Saccharomyces cerevisiae S288C: one gene and its partners. The protein of the gene in region 4 binds, or shares a complex with, the protein of the main gene of each other region. Each region holds a gene or a part of one and is shown on either strand. Other genes may lie near its edges. The genes, in order: MRPS18, RSM26, MRPS17 and MRP17.

Region 1 (2,986 bases), on a different chromosome or scaffold from region 4:
TCGCTGGTAACCTTAGCGTACGATAAGGATACAGTACTTTCGGCTCTGCTGATCACCACCATCGTCGTAGTCGGCGTTTCCTTGACCGCACTATCAGAGAGATTCGAGAACGTGCTGAATTCCGCAACGTCAATATACTATTGGTTAAACTGGGGTCTATGGATTATGATCGGAATGGGTCTCACGGCCTTGCTTTTCGGCTGGAATACCCACTCTTCCAAGTTTAATCTGCTTTACGGCTGGCTTGGTGCCATTTTATTTACCGCGTATCTTTTCATCGATACGCAACTGATTTTTAGGAAAGTGTATCCTGATGAAGAAGTTAGATGCGCCATGATGCTTTACCTGGACATCGTCAATTTGTTTTTGTCTATTTTAAGGATTTTGGCCAACTCTAACGACGACAATTAAAAAAAGGGAAAAATCGAATTATTTACACGAATATATATATATTTCTTCTTCTTTTACATAGTTTATAATTCATACATAGTGGGAGCTGATCATAGTCTTCTCATCTTTGGTGATCTTACACCACCAAACTTCAATTTGGTGGCATCGCTGATCTTCACAACCTTTTTCACCACACTGGCCCCTTCCTTACCAACAAGAGCGGAAATAAAAGCAGCTCTGCCCTTCCCAAAGTCGTCCATCACCACTTCGATATCTTTGTTCAGCATGTTCTTTTCCTTAATCAATTCAAACATTCTACCACTGGTTTGAAATGCAGCTTCATACTCCCCTCTTGCTGCCTTCCTAAACCCTAAACAACCTGTAGATAGCGAAATCTTCACTTTCTGGGGTAAGTTCAAATAGTACAGCATTGTATCATTATACGTAAGTCCCTTATTCTTATGAAAGTTCTTGTCCTCCACAACGCTTGAAAATGTCAAATGCGTGTTATTTTTAGTAAACTTGCCATGTAGAATGTACTTAACTACTTCCTCTTTGGGCTTGTAAACCTCACTACTACCATTTGACTTTGTCAAAACTGAGTCAGAGGACGAAGGATACGAGATATTCGTGATATCCTCCTGATTTGAAATATCCTTAAATGAAAAAGGAACTCCTCTATTCGTGCCGGTAGAATTCCATCTTCTGATAGGCCTGACAAACTGCGTCCATCGGCAGCCTTTCCAAACAGGTTGTAACAGCATCACACGTAACTATAACAGTTCACACTGTCACTTTTTCTTTTCAGAAGAACCACTGCTTTCCACCTGATTTACTCTCATTTTGTCTTCCCTCTTTCCCAATTCATCGTTATTATGCCAAACAGTCACGAAGTACGAAACAAACACTCTCCGCTGCTATAGAAAGTTCCAATCTTAGGCTGAATAATGGAATACTAGTAGCTCAGTGATTATCATCATAATTGAAGCTATCATTAAAAAGCATGCAGCCATATTATGCAGGAATTATATGATCACACGTAGCTGTAGTGGCTTTCGAAAGCAGCATTCTTGCTTCCACTCAGTTCGTATGTAATGACAGTTCAGTGACCCACAAACAACACTGAAAAAAGCGACCTTCATATGCGGAAGAGGGCAGGCGTAACCTCCAAGGGAAAACGACATAGATTTCGCAAGTGAGTGCCATTGTGTCGTGTTAGTAGTGTGGGCAGGCCCGTAACGTGTTTATTGATAGGAGTTAAGCCCAAGACTACAGAGTTCTTTGCTTCATCTTTCAATTTTCTTTTTATTTTCCGAAACCCCCACTCCATCACATTCTAGTACATATGTCTACGGAAGAGCAGAATGGTGTTCCTCTGCAAAGGGGATCTGAATTCATTGCAGACGATGTAACCTCGAATAAATCGAACAACACGAGGCGGATGCTGGTGAAAGAGTACAGGAAAATCGGTAGAGGTGCCTTTGGGACTGTTGTACAAGCATATTTAACCCAGGATAAGAAAAACTGGTTGGGCCCCTTTGCAATTAAAAAAGTCCCTGCTCATACCGAGTACAAGTCCAGGGAATTACAGATTCTGAGGATTGCCGACCATCCAAATATCGTTAAATTGCAGTATTTCTTTACTCATTTGTCCCCGCAAGATAATAAAGTTTATCAACACCTTGCCATGGAATGCTTACCAGAAACTCTACAAATCGAGATTAATCGTTATGTGACAAACAAGCTAGAAATGCCATTAAAACATATCAGGCTATACACTTATCAGATTGCCCGCGGGATGCTTTATTTACACGGTCTTGGCGTTTGTCATCGTGATATCAAACCATCCAATGTTCTTGTAGACCCGGAAACCGGTGTCTTGAAAATCTGCGATTTTGGGTCTGCCAAAAAATTGGAACATAACCAGCCTTCAATTAGTTACATCTGTTCAAGATTTTATAGAGCGCCTGAATTGATCATTGGTTGTACCCAATATACCACCCAGATCGATATATGGGGGCTTGGTTGTGTCATGGGCGAGATGCTTATCGGCAAAGCCATATTTCAAGGTCAAGAACCCCTTCTACAGCTAAGGGAAATTGCTAAATTGTTAGGTCCTCCCGATAAAAGATTCATTTTCTTTTCGAATCCGGCCTACGATGGCCCTCTATTTTCCAAACCACTGTTCTCGGGCTCTTCGCAACAGAGGTTTGAGAAGTATTTTGGCCATTCCGGTCCAGATGGTATCGATCTTTTGATGAAAATATTGGTCTACGAACCACAACAAAGACTGTCTCCAAGAAGAATCCTTGCCCATCAGTTCTTTAATGAATTAAGGAATGATGACACTTTCTTACCAAGAGGTTTCACTGAACCAATCAAGCTACCAAATTTGTTTGATTTTAATGATTTTGAGTTACAAATTCTGGGTGAATTTGCTGATAAAATTAAACCTACGAAAGTTGCTGAATAATAATTTTCTATTAATTTGTTCTCTTTCCCCTCGGAAAATTTAATGAACAAAATACTATGATTTTTTTCACCTTTGATCCGCTGTTTATATTTCACTTGGAAAAGAAAAAAAATTTTTTGGAAT
Region 2 (3,127 bases), on a different chromosome or scaffold from region 4:
CGAAAAATAATCGAAATCGATGGACACAGCGTTTGCTAATAACACGGCCCTTTGATCCAAAGTTAGTACTTGAGAACTTAGCATCTCAGTAGGATAAATATTATCAAAGCATCTCTGCGAATCAAATCTAACAACATAAACACCAGTATCGGTAAACATTTCTCTTCCTAAACCAACCCAATTTCTGTCTACACTCGCCATTATCTTACCATCAGCATCTGTTACAGGAAAATCAAATGATAAGAAAGGTGCATCTATCTTACCAAATTGGTCAAAAGTGGATCCTTCTACTCCATCTTTCTGGAATAATTCGTAACGACGCCTCCAGAGATGCCAGTTCTGAATGGTCTCTCCTACTGTCGTTCCTTCTTTACCGTCGTGATAGTGAGTGGAGTCACTGCCATTATCAACATACGCGGAAGGAGGTATGATAGTCTTTATATGAGAATTGATGAACGAAAAGGGCCTTTTAATCGTCATTATTACATTTCCCCAATTATCAAAGACATCTACCAAAAAAGGACGATGTAGACGATAAAACTGCCGCATTATGGCCTTTGTTATAGAAAAATCTCTTTCCATCATTGATGCTATTTTGTTTCCGTTCACATCCATTATGGCATACCTATTAGCCTGCTCGAAACCTAGAAAAACGTTCATAAATTCTATTTGCCTTTCGATAATAACTGTCGGTTCATTAAGTATCGTAGTAGCTATAGGATCATGTACTTTTATTATCCCGCTATTGCTATTTTCTTTAAATGCTTTTACTGATGGCGCCTTCGTTATTTGGTTCTTTTCACGAATTACTCTCCTAAATGGACCGTTTCTGATTACTTTACCAGAAGAAACCGTTAATGTTTTACTCAGTGTACTGAAATTTCTCATACATGATCGGTAAGTTAGAAATATTGCCGTTCTATGCATGTCGGTGTTATCCTTTATGTTTGACCTTTAATCTTCTTTTGTTTTGTCTTTTTTCATTTCGTACTTTTCAAATCCTTATTGCCGGTAGGCTTACAAACTTGAATGAAGTATATAACGAAGTCAATGAAACCTCTCCCATACTAGGTTCGGAACCTGTTAAGGGGAACAAGACCGCGCACTTGTTATGAAAATTCTTCCTATAACTATATTGAAAGCTATTTTTCCACATCGGCAGACAAACGACTGTCCAGACTTAGTAAAGCTCTTGGTCGATTTTGTACATTGCCTTTCCTTTACAGCTCCAAGATATTATATATATTTTTGACAAGGTAATCAATTGCCCCACAAATCTTCCATATAAAAACCTATATATGCTATTAACCGAATGGCAATTCCCTCTATCTCATATCTCACCTCTACAGTAATCCTTCCGTGGTATCTGGTCTATAGAAATGGGTACTGTTTCATTTAAACGTGTTATCACTTGATCCAATGGTTACCATCTGACTTTGGCATCAATCCCTTCTTAAAAAGTAACCAATCAATGATATGCGATTGTTTATGAAGTCCATTCAACAAACAATGGGAGTTTGGCCGAGTGGTTTAAGGCGTCAGATTTAGGTGGATTTAACCTCTAAAATCTCTGATATCTTCGGATGCAAGGGTTCGAATCCCTTAGCTCTCATTATTTTTTGTATTTTTTTTTTTCACTTCCCATCTTTCCAAGAATCTTAGGAGAGGTGCCGCAGTACTTTTTTGGACTGAGCAAGAAGTATCGCAAAGCATGGAAAAGTAAGAAGGGTATAGCAAAAGTCTTTTCACAATAAGAGGATATTTTGCAGGCAAATTTCTGAAGACCACATAATATCGTCTTCTTGGCGCAACTAAGACGCAGAGAAATGCTTGTTTTCAAAAGGGGTATTCACGTAGTACCTAAACTACCAAATTCTAAGGCCCTACTGCAAAATGGAGTGCCTAATATACTCAGTTCTTCGGGATTCAAGACGGTGTGGTTCGACTACCAGCGATATCTATGTGATAAGCTAACGCTGGCGACAGCGGGACAGTCTTTGGAATCATATTATCCATTTCACATATTGCTGAAAACTGCAGGAAATCCATTACAGTCAAACATCTTCAATTTGGCGTCCTCTATCCATAATAACCATTTATTCGTGGAGAACATTCTACCTTCTGCTGTTGAACATGGCACTAACTCGAACGCCGTTGTGAAGACAGAGCCTTCTAGGCTTTTTTTATCCAAAATCAAAGATTCATTCAACGGCAGCGATTGGGAAGTAGTGAAGGAGGAAATGATTTACCGTGCTGAGAATGAAGTCTTGGGACAAGGCTGGTTATTTCTAGTTGAAAACAATGAGAAAAAACTCTTCATATTAACGAGCAATAATAATGGTACGCCGTATTATTTTCCCAGGAACCAGTCATTTGATTTAAACAGTGCGATATCCATCGATGAATTTGCTACCTTGAAACAAATGAAAGAACTGATAGGAAAGTCTACTAAGTTGAATGGTAAGGTTCAAGACTGGACCATGCCTATAATCTGTGTCAATCTGTGGGATCATGCTTATTTACATGATTATGGCGTTGGTAACCGGTCCAAATACGTGAAGAATGTTCTAGATAACTTGAATTGGTCAGTGGTAAATAATAGGATATTCTCTGGTATATCGAAGTAATGAAAAGAAAGGAAGCGATAGCCTCTTACCCTCATATGTAATTATAAAGGTATCGGGTAGAAGGGGATCTACCAAAATCTTATATACTGTAAATAGTTTTATTTTATCCTCTCGCTCGTGTTTTAAACAACCTTAATGGCAATTACTTTATCATTTTCATCTTTCAGCATTGTGGCCCTATTTCTATCGCATAGGGGCTTCAAACAATAATAGAGCAAGCTTTCGGGCATTCTATGGAACTCCCAATTGACTGTTTCATCACCTTCACTCAATTCGTATAACGTAATGACTTGATTCAGTTTTCCAGAGTCTTCGAACCACTGTAGTATCAAAGAAGCCCAACTGTCTAAGCTCTTCCATAATATAAAATATCTCGTAGTGGTGGTATTGCTGCTTCTCCTACCACTTTGGTCAATCGGTAAGCATTTGCCTTCTTTGGTCATTTGCGACCAAATTTCATCAATAAATACCTGTGATACAGATCTTTGGATGTCCTCATT
Region 3 (5,533 bases), on a different chromosome or scaffold from region 4:
GTCATCATATAATTTGAATTTAGCATTGCTATCACACTAGAAAATGGTAATCCCTCATTACCCATCATTTTGATATAGGCATAAGAAATTGGTAACACTAAAGCATTACCATATGGAGCAGAGGAGACCGAATCGATGGATTTGCTACCGCCGATTCCAGTGATCATATCAACAACGTCATGTTTAGGTAAATGGGGTATTAAATGAGATTTGACGCAAATGGGAGCTCCAGCTGGACCACCACCACCATGAGGAATGGAAAATGTCTTATGTAAATTCAAGTGGCAAACATCTGCACCAAGATCTCCGGGTGAAGTTAGCCCAACCTGCGCATTCATATTAGCACCATCCAAATAGACTTGTCCACCAAAAGAATGTACGATATCAATAGCATGTTGGATGCCTGGTTCAAATAAACCGTAAGTGGAAGGATAGGTGATCATTACGGCGGCTAGTTCTTTAGAATGTTGTTCAGCCTTATTCTTTAAGTCAACCAGATCTAATGAGCCATCCTGCAAACAGTTGACAGGAACAACTTTTAAACCCGCCATAGCGGCAGAAGCCGGATTTGTACCATGAGCGGATACAGGGATTAAACACACGTTACGATGATTTTCACCTTTGCTTTCCAGGTAGGATCTGATTACTCTCAGACCAGTATATTCACCTTGAGCACCTGAATTTGGTTGTAAAGAAATACCATCGAAACCTGTAATGCTGCATAAATCTTTCTCCAACGAAGTAATTAGTTCCTTGTATCCTTGGACTTGGTTTGATGGCTGGAACGGATGGATATTCGAAAATTGGGGCCAAGTGATTGGCATCATTTCAACAGTACTGTTCAATTTCATAGTACAGGAACCTAAAGGAATCATAGAATTAGCAAGAGATAAATCACGAGATTGCAACCTATGTAAATATCTCAACATTGCTGTTTCGCTATGGTGCATGTGAAAGACTTCGTTCCTCAATATTTCATCAGTACGCTGAAATTCCCTTGGGAAACTGTTAGAATAGTCCTCAGAAAGAAACTGCGAAGAATTTTCAATGTCAAACACTTTTAGTAGATTTTCAACATCAGCTTTTGTAGTTGTTTCATCAAGAGCCAAGGAAATAGTGGTGGTGTCCACGGCAAACAAATTGATATTAAATTCTTTCAAGGCCTTGTCCAATAACTGCTCGGAGGATATGCCATTACCTAACTTTATAGTCAAAGTATCAAACCATGTTTTATTAATTAGTTCGTGAGGGCAACTGTCATTTTCGATGGCATTTGCCAATATTGATGTTAAGCTAAATATCCTCCTGGAAATATTCTGTAGGCCCTTAGGACCGTGATAAACACAGTAGCTCGAAGCAACATTAGCCAGTAAAGCTTGAGCGGTACATATATTTGAAGTTGCCTTATCACGCTTGATATGTTGTTCTCTTGTTTGGAGGGCCAACCGCAAGGCCGTCTTGCCTAAGCGGTCTTTAGAGATACCGACAATTCTACCTGGAATTTTTCTGTTTAATTTATCAATAACAGCGAAAAAAGCAGCATGAGGACCACCATAACCCATTGGGACACCAAATCGTTGAGAGGAACCCAGGACGATATCAGCACCGTAATGAGCAGGTGGTTTTAGAAGTGTCAAAGCCATTAAATCTGAGGCCACAGAGAGCAAAGACTTGTGAGAGTGTAACGCATCAGATAACTGTTTCATCGAGTCAGGCGGTAAGATTGAACCATCTGTCGCTGGATATTGAACCAAACAACCAGATACGTCGGGGTTCTTTAAAACATCCACAGCTTTCTTGATATCCGAACAGTCAACTTCAATAATTTCAATATTGAACGGCTTGGCTCTGGTGTGAAGGACACTCTTTGTTTGCTGGTGTAATTTTTTATCTATTACGTATTTTAGTTTCTTTTTTCTGGAAATATTGAATGACAAGAGCATAGCTTCTCCAGCCGCTGTACCCTCATCCAACAATGAGGCGTTCGCCACAGGCAAACCAGTCAAATCTGAAACAACCGTTTGAAAGTTTAATAGCGCTTCTAGCCTACCTTGAGAAATTTCGGGTTGATAGGGCGTATAAGAAGTATACCATTCTGGACTTTCTAGCAGGTTTCTTTGTATAACCGGTGGTAAAATCGTACCGTAGTAACCCTTACCTATGAAATTTTTAACTTTATAGTGGTTCTTATTGGCAATCTTTTCTAGATGTTGAAGCATTTCTTGTTCACAGAATCCCTTACTAGGAGCTTCTAGTTTCAAGGGTCTTCTCTTCAAAATATTGGGAGGAACGAGCTCTTCTATAAATGCGTTTAAATCGCTATAACCCATTGTTTTTAACATTTTCTTAACGTCGCTAGGAGAAGGACCTAAATGACGTCTAGCAAAAGTATCTAGCGGTCTATCAATGTTTTTCAAGTCAGGATTGAAAATCCTGCTGTACTGTGTAGACGTTATGTCTGTAGCGGCTGTTTTGAGCAAAATAGATTGAGAATGGAATGATCTAGTCCTCGCTAATGAAACATAATTGGTGCTTGACCTGACAGTAGCCCTACAAAGGAGAGCAGTCACTCTTGTCCTAAGCATGTTATCTTCCTGGTATTAGGAAACGTTTTTCCAATAAACTGTGGTTAGTTGATGGTTAGATCGCGCAGCAATCAATACAGTAAGATTGGTACACACGAGAAAGACTAATTCACTGGAACTTGAAGAGAAGAAAATTGTGCCACTCGAGCCTGCTATATATACATCCATTTATATTCGTTGGAGATCTTTCGACTAGCTTATCAAGGTCCTTCACAGCTCAATGCTGACTTCGATGACTCCTCTGAGAGTCATGACTCCGAAAAGGAGGAGTCTATACCTCAAGAAGAGTCAGAGATGTCGGGTAACGATTCAACCGGGTAACATGATTGTTATTTCATAAGATTAGAATTCTGAAGCAATTTGGGATTGTGCCAAACCAATGCGAGCATCAAACTGTTAGAGGAAATCCACAAATAAGGCCAAACAGAAGTAAACTCAGGGAGTTGAATTCGGGTTAGAGATTTCAAAAGTCAAATCAAGATCAGTTAAACTGTAATGGCTCGCCAAAATTTTTTAGGCTTGGTCGTCTCCCAAGGGAAGATGCAAAAGACGGTTAAAGTACGTGTAGAAACAAAAGTCTTTAATAAGAAAATCAACAAGGAGTTATTTCATAGAAGAGATTATTTAGTGCATGATGAAGGTGAAATATCAAGGGAGGGTGATTTAGTAAGGATAGAAGCGACGAGGCCGCTTTCAAAGAGGAAGTTTTTTGCCATTGCAGAAATTATTAGAAACAAGGGTCAACAATTTGCATTATACGAATCAGAAGCTCAGTTAAGCGTTGCAAAAGAAGAAGCCCAAAAGGCAAAAGAATTTTTGGATAAAAGATCAGTGAGGGAGAATAAACTAAATGAAAAAACAACCCTTTTACGTGATATTAGGACCATCCAAGATGCTTTATCTAGCGGGTCAACGCCGAAAGAGTTATTGGAGATTAAACAAAGGTACGGCATTCAAGATTTTTCACAAGAAACAGTGAGGCAACTTTTACAGTTAGACATCTCTGGATTGGAGGTTAATTTGGAGAAACAAAGAAGTCTCATTGATCGTATTCAAACGCGATTATCCGAATTGTTGTCGAATGATCTAAAATGTGATCAATTTTTGAAGGATCATGGTGTTGAGGATCCTTTGACCTTGAAAAAAAACATCAAAAAAAATTTGTTAAGAAAGCACGTCATGATGGATATGCAACAACCAAGCCAGTAAATAAAAGAAAGAGGAAAGCCGAGTGTCATATTTTCTCAACTAAAGCACTACACTCTGTAAATATATACAACTACAAGACTTCGTTACGTAAATAGTAAAGTGTTATGTTTTGACTTTAAAATATTCTAGTGAAAAGAACGATGTTTTTGATTTTCTATCGTTTAACGCATTTATATATTTTCAGGCAAGTGATATCGAAGATGTGAGTACATCGCTCGTCCCCATCGTCAAAAACAAAAGTAAATAAAAGAGCTCTGCTCTGATTTTACAAACAAGAAAATTCCAAGGAAATAGTCCAAGTTTTATATGACCCCACCTCATTTTTTTTTATCTCTCATAAAAAAAAGATGCATATGCTGGATATGTTTGGAAGAATCCACATATGACTCTACATGGCTACAGCACACGTGCGGTTGCAACTTACAAATTCATAAACGCTGCTATATAAGATGGCTCTATCAAATGCATGTTGAACTTTTTCTTCCGAACACAGTGGACCTACCAAAGGATGCTGATTTACCTATAATCACCTGTTTAAAATGTCTCGTTGATGGGCACCATGATTTTATGACGACTTTCTCTCTTACAGAAATATGGGAAACTCGTCCCATTTGGGGGCAAAAATCAGTACCGTTTCAAAATGACTACGTGTTCAATCTAATGTCTCTTTATACCAAACGGGATAATCATCCACCTTATGTGTTAGTGAAATTTGGCGAATGTCCTCAATGCAAGAAAACAAATTTCATAAAAAGACCTACAGTAACCATCCAGTCTTCTGTACTATCCCTGTTTTATCAGTGGCAAAAAATTACACGATACGTGATACCATTAGGGATAACTAGTTTATTTCTTTTAAACCCTGAAAAGACAAGTTTTGACATTGGATTATGGCAACTACGCTGCCTTTTCCCTGAGAATGTTCTACGAAATATGTTAAACATCAGCACTACAAAGGCATTGGACGTATATGCGCAAACTGAACGTGGCTTATTAAGCATTCCTTTAACCTCCTCGATCATAATATATGGGTTCATACATTATCTTAGCAACATTTCTAACGTCAGTGCTAATGCAATACTCTTTAAGTGGGTGTATCTCAGTATTGTAAAAACTGCTGGAAACAAATATTACAAGGGTATAGGTTTACCTAAAATAATTTTGTATTCTAACTTGGCTACATTTTGCTATAATTTTACCTTTAAAAGATTGGTTGACTTAATTTACAGGAGGCTGATCAATAAAGGAGGTAAGTATTTGTATCACGGAAATTTTGAAAACTCTAGTAATAGCGTTCCAGCTGAGGAATTTTTTATCAGGCGGAATTGGTATGCTATTCTTGCAGAAAAGATACTATGGCCCTTTGTTGGTAAATGTACAGGAGGTCTTCTATTGAATGCTTTTCTATGGATACAGAGAAAGTTTAAAATTGAATGGACGCCGAATTGCTCCCCTTCGGAATTTAGAATGATTTTCAATATTATAGGTTGTGGTACTGCTGCTATAGGCTGGTCAAGTCTGAAGCTCTATGCCAGTTACAAAAGATGTCAGGAACTTGAAAAGATCAATGAATTTATTGAACAAAGTTGCAAAGGTGAGTAAATAAGTCATTCGTAAGTGTACACTAAACTTTAAGGACAGCTGGTAGGACAATTTTATGGTCATTTGACAGCTGATGTCTTAAATTGTGTGCTATGGTTCATGTTTACATTAAGACCAACTTTTTTAAAGGCGCGTAA
Region 4 (2,596 bases):
TCAAAGAGTGATCCATTGGCTGCAGATTCAAACGATATCGAAAGTGTCCCTTTGTCCAACTTGGAACTTGACTTTGATCTTAATATGACTGATGAACCCAGTGTAAGCCCTTCGTTATTTGATGGATCTACTTCTGTTTCTCGTTCGTCCGCCACGTCTATAACGTCACTAGGTGTAAAGAGGGCTTAATGAGTATTTTATCTGCAATTACGGATACGGTTGGTCTTATGTAGATACATATAAATATATATCTTTTTCTTTCTTTTTCTTAGTCAGGATTGTCGTTTAGCATAATATACATGTAGTTTATTTAATCACATACCACTGATTATCTTTAGAATTTTATAAATTTTTGAAATAAATGGGTGGCTTTTAATGGTGTCTATGTTAAGTGAGGCTTTTAGAATGCTCTTCCTGCTTTGTTTATTATATGTGTATGAAAGATATGTATGTATTTACATGTGTTTGTAGCGTCCCCAGTCAAAACCTGTGCGCTATACCTAAATGGATTGATAATCTTCATTCACTAATTCTAAAATAGACTTCTTCCCCAAAGAACGGTGTAACGATGAGGCTCTATCCAGCTGCTTATCTAAATCAACTTTAACGATGGATGATCTTATGACACGGGGATCTTTCTTTAAAGTTCTTAGAATTTCAGACTGTACCGCAGCTGATGAATCAAACAGCATTAAAAAGTGATATGCTCGAAAATGTTTTTCCTGGTCTTTCTTCATTATTTTAGGAAGATACCTTATGCCCATGGGTACAATGTCCCTCACCACACCTCTGTTTTGAATAATCAGTTTCCCGATTGTGGAAGACAATTCTTTTGCTTCCAACTTTGGCGCATTGGAGTTGGTTATGCGAACAAGTCCGATCAGCTCATAAAGCATCTTAGTGAAAAGGGTGGTTTTGCGTTATTCTTTCCTCTGTTGAAGCTTTTCTATTTTGTTTAAGCTGAACTAGTGGGAGTTTCCATTAAAAGGCTAAAGTCTTGTTGAAACTTTTCCGGGTTAGATGATAACTGCGAAAAGATAGATAAAATCAGCATTAAAGGGACTTCGTCTCCTCCTAATCAGAAATCATCCTTTCGAATTATGCGTATTCAGTTGAAGCGTATTTGTGACCAGTGTACTTCAAGGCTGATTGTTTCACCCTTGGACACAGAACGTTAAACAATGAGTTTGTTTGAGTGGGTATTTGGAAAGAATGTCACTCCGCAAGAGAGGTTAAAAAAAGTATGTTGTTCTGTATTTGGATCAGTTATTTTAGTGAACATACTAACGTTAATTATTTGAGTTTTTAGAATCAAAGGGCTTTAGAAAGGACTCAGAGGGAGCTTGAAAGAGAAAAGAGAAAATTGGAACTACAAGATAAAAAACTTGTATCAGAAATTAAAAAATCGGCAAAGAATGGGCAAGTTGCAGCTGCGAAAGTTCAAGCAAAAGATTTAGTAAGAACCCGGAATTACATCCAAAAATTTGACAACATGAAAGCTCAACTTCAGGCGATATCATTGAGAATACAGGCCGTTCGAAGTAGTGACCAAATGACACGTTCTATGAGCGAGGCCACTGGTCTTTTGGCTGGAATGAACAGAACAATGAATCTACCTCAGTTGCAAAGGATATCGATGGAGTTTGAAAAGCAGAGTGATTTGATGGGTCAACGACAGGAATTCATGGACGAAGCTATTGATAACGTCATGGGTGATGAGGTGGATGAAGACGAAGAAGCTGACGAAATTGTAAATAAAGTTCTTGATGAGATTGGAGTGGATTTGAATTCACAGTTGCAAAGCACGCCTCAAAATCTGGTTTCTAATGCGCCGATCGCAGAAACAGCGATGGGGATTCCTGAACCTATTGGCGCCGGATCAGAATTTCACGGTAATCCTGACGATGACTTGCAAGCTCGGTTGAACACTTTGAAGAAGCAGACTTGAGCGCTCTGAGTATATTTAATGAATAATAGGTCTATACTATAATACATCAACTACTGATATCAAAGTAGGCACTTAGAATCAAAAGGCTTCCGAAAATTTGTTCAGTTTTTCACTTTACTCAATCTCGTCACTAAAGTTTTCTTTTTTTTTCGAATGAATCCTCGAATAAATATGTTCTATATTATATATATACATCTTTTATATATCATTAAATGTACAGTAATCGGTCAAATTACAAATGCTTACGGATGATTTTTTCACTGATTAAGTACTCATAAATAATGGTAGCACATTCTTCAACCGTCTTCTGGTCGGTTCTCAAATGTAGCTCTGGAGCTTTTGGCGCTTCATATGGGGCAGAAATACCTGTAAACTCCTTGATTACACCCTCCCTAGCTTTCTTGTATAAACCCTTAGGGTCCCTTTGCTCAGCGACTTCTAATGGAACATCAACAAATATTTCAATGAACTTCAAACCAGCCTCCTTATGTAGTTCACGAGCTCTATCTCTGTCAACTCTGTATGGAGAGATAAATGAGGTGATTGAAATAGCACATGAATCAGCAAATAGCTTAGAAACTTCGCTAATTCTACGAATGTTTTCATTTCTGTCCTTTTCTGAGAAACCCAAATCCTTGTTCAATCCAA

What was found.
Region 1: MRP17 (region 4) and MRPS18 share a complex: the UniProt entries of both Saccharomyces cerevisiae proteins name them as parts of the mitochondrial small ribosomal subunit.
Region 2: MRP17 (region 4) and RSM26 share a complex: the UniProt entries of both Saccharomyces cerevisiae proteins name them as parts of the mitochondrial small ribosomal subunit.
Region 3: MRP17 (region 4) and MRPS17 share a complex: the UniProt entries of both Saccharomyces cerevisiae proteins name them as parts of the mitochondrial small ribosomal subunit.

Annotation. Positions count from the first base shown.
Region 1 is NC_001146.8:56,323-59,308, reverse strand, and holds MRPS18 (mitochondrial 37S ribosomal protein uS11m MRPS18), read right to left. Parts: upstream 1,155-2,986; coding exon 501-1,154; downstream 1-500. Other genes in the region: BXI1 (Bxi1p), read left to right, coding at 1-411; serine/threonine/tyrosine protein kinase MCK1, read left to right, coding at 1,736-2,863. UniProt on the Saccharomyces cerevisiae protein: Component of the mitochondrial ribosome (mitoribosome), a dedicated translation machinery responsible for the synthesis of mitochondrial genome-encoded proteins, including at least some of the essential transmembrane subunits of the mitochondrial respiratory chain.
Region 2 is NC_001142.9:616,408-619,534, forward strand, and holds RSM26 (mitochondrial 37S ribosomal protein mS42 RSM26), read left to right. Parts: upstream 1-1,826; coding exon 1,827-2,627; downstream 2,628-3,127. Other genes in the region: AIM25 (Aim25p), read right to left, coding at 1-927; ESCRT-II subunit protein VPS25, read right to left, coding at 2,750-3,127. UniProt on the Saccharomyces cerevisiae protein: Component of the mitochondrial ribosome (mitoribosome), a dedicated translation machinery responsible for the synthesis of mitochondrial genome-encoded proteins, including at least some of the essential transmembrane subunits of the mitochondrial respiratory chain.
Region 3 is NC_001145.3:634,552-640,084, reverse strand, and holds MRPS17 (mitochondrial 37S ribosomal protein uS17m MRPS17), read left to right. Parts: upstream 1-3,080; coding exon 3,081-3,794; downstream 3,795-5,533. Other genes in the region: GCV2 (glycine decarboxylase subunit P), read right to left, coding at 1-2,585; YMR187C (uncharacterized protein), read left to right, coding at 4,101-5,396. UniProt on the Saccharomyces cerevisiae protein: Component of the mitochondrial ribosome (mitoribosome), a dedicated translation machinery responsible for the synthesis of mitochondrial genome-encoded proteins, including at least some of the essential transmembrane subunits of the mitochondrial respiratory chain.
Region 4 is NC_001143.9:436,597-439,192, forward strand, and holds MRP17 (mitochondrial 37S ribosomal protein bS6m MRP17), read right to left. Parts: upstream 897-2,596; coding exon 501-896; downstream 1-500. Other genes in the region: AUR1 (inositol phosphorylceramide synthase), read left to right, coding at 1-189; ESCRT-III subunit protein DID4, read left to right, coding at 1,182-1,241, 1,310-1,948; MET14 (adenylyl-sulfate kinase), read right to left, coding at 2,181-2,596. UniProt on the Saccharomyces cerevisiae protein: Component of the mitochondrial ribosome (mitoribosome), a dedicated translation machinery responsible for the synthesis of mitochondrial genome-encoded proteins, including at least some of the essential transmembrane subunits of the mitochondrial respiratory chain.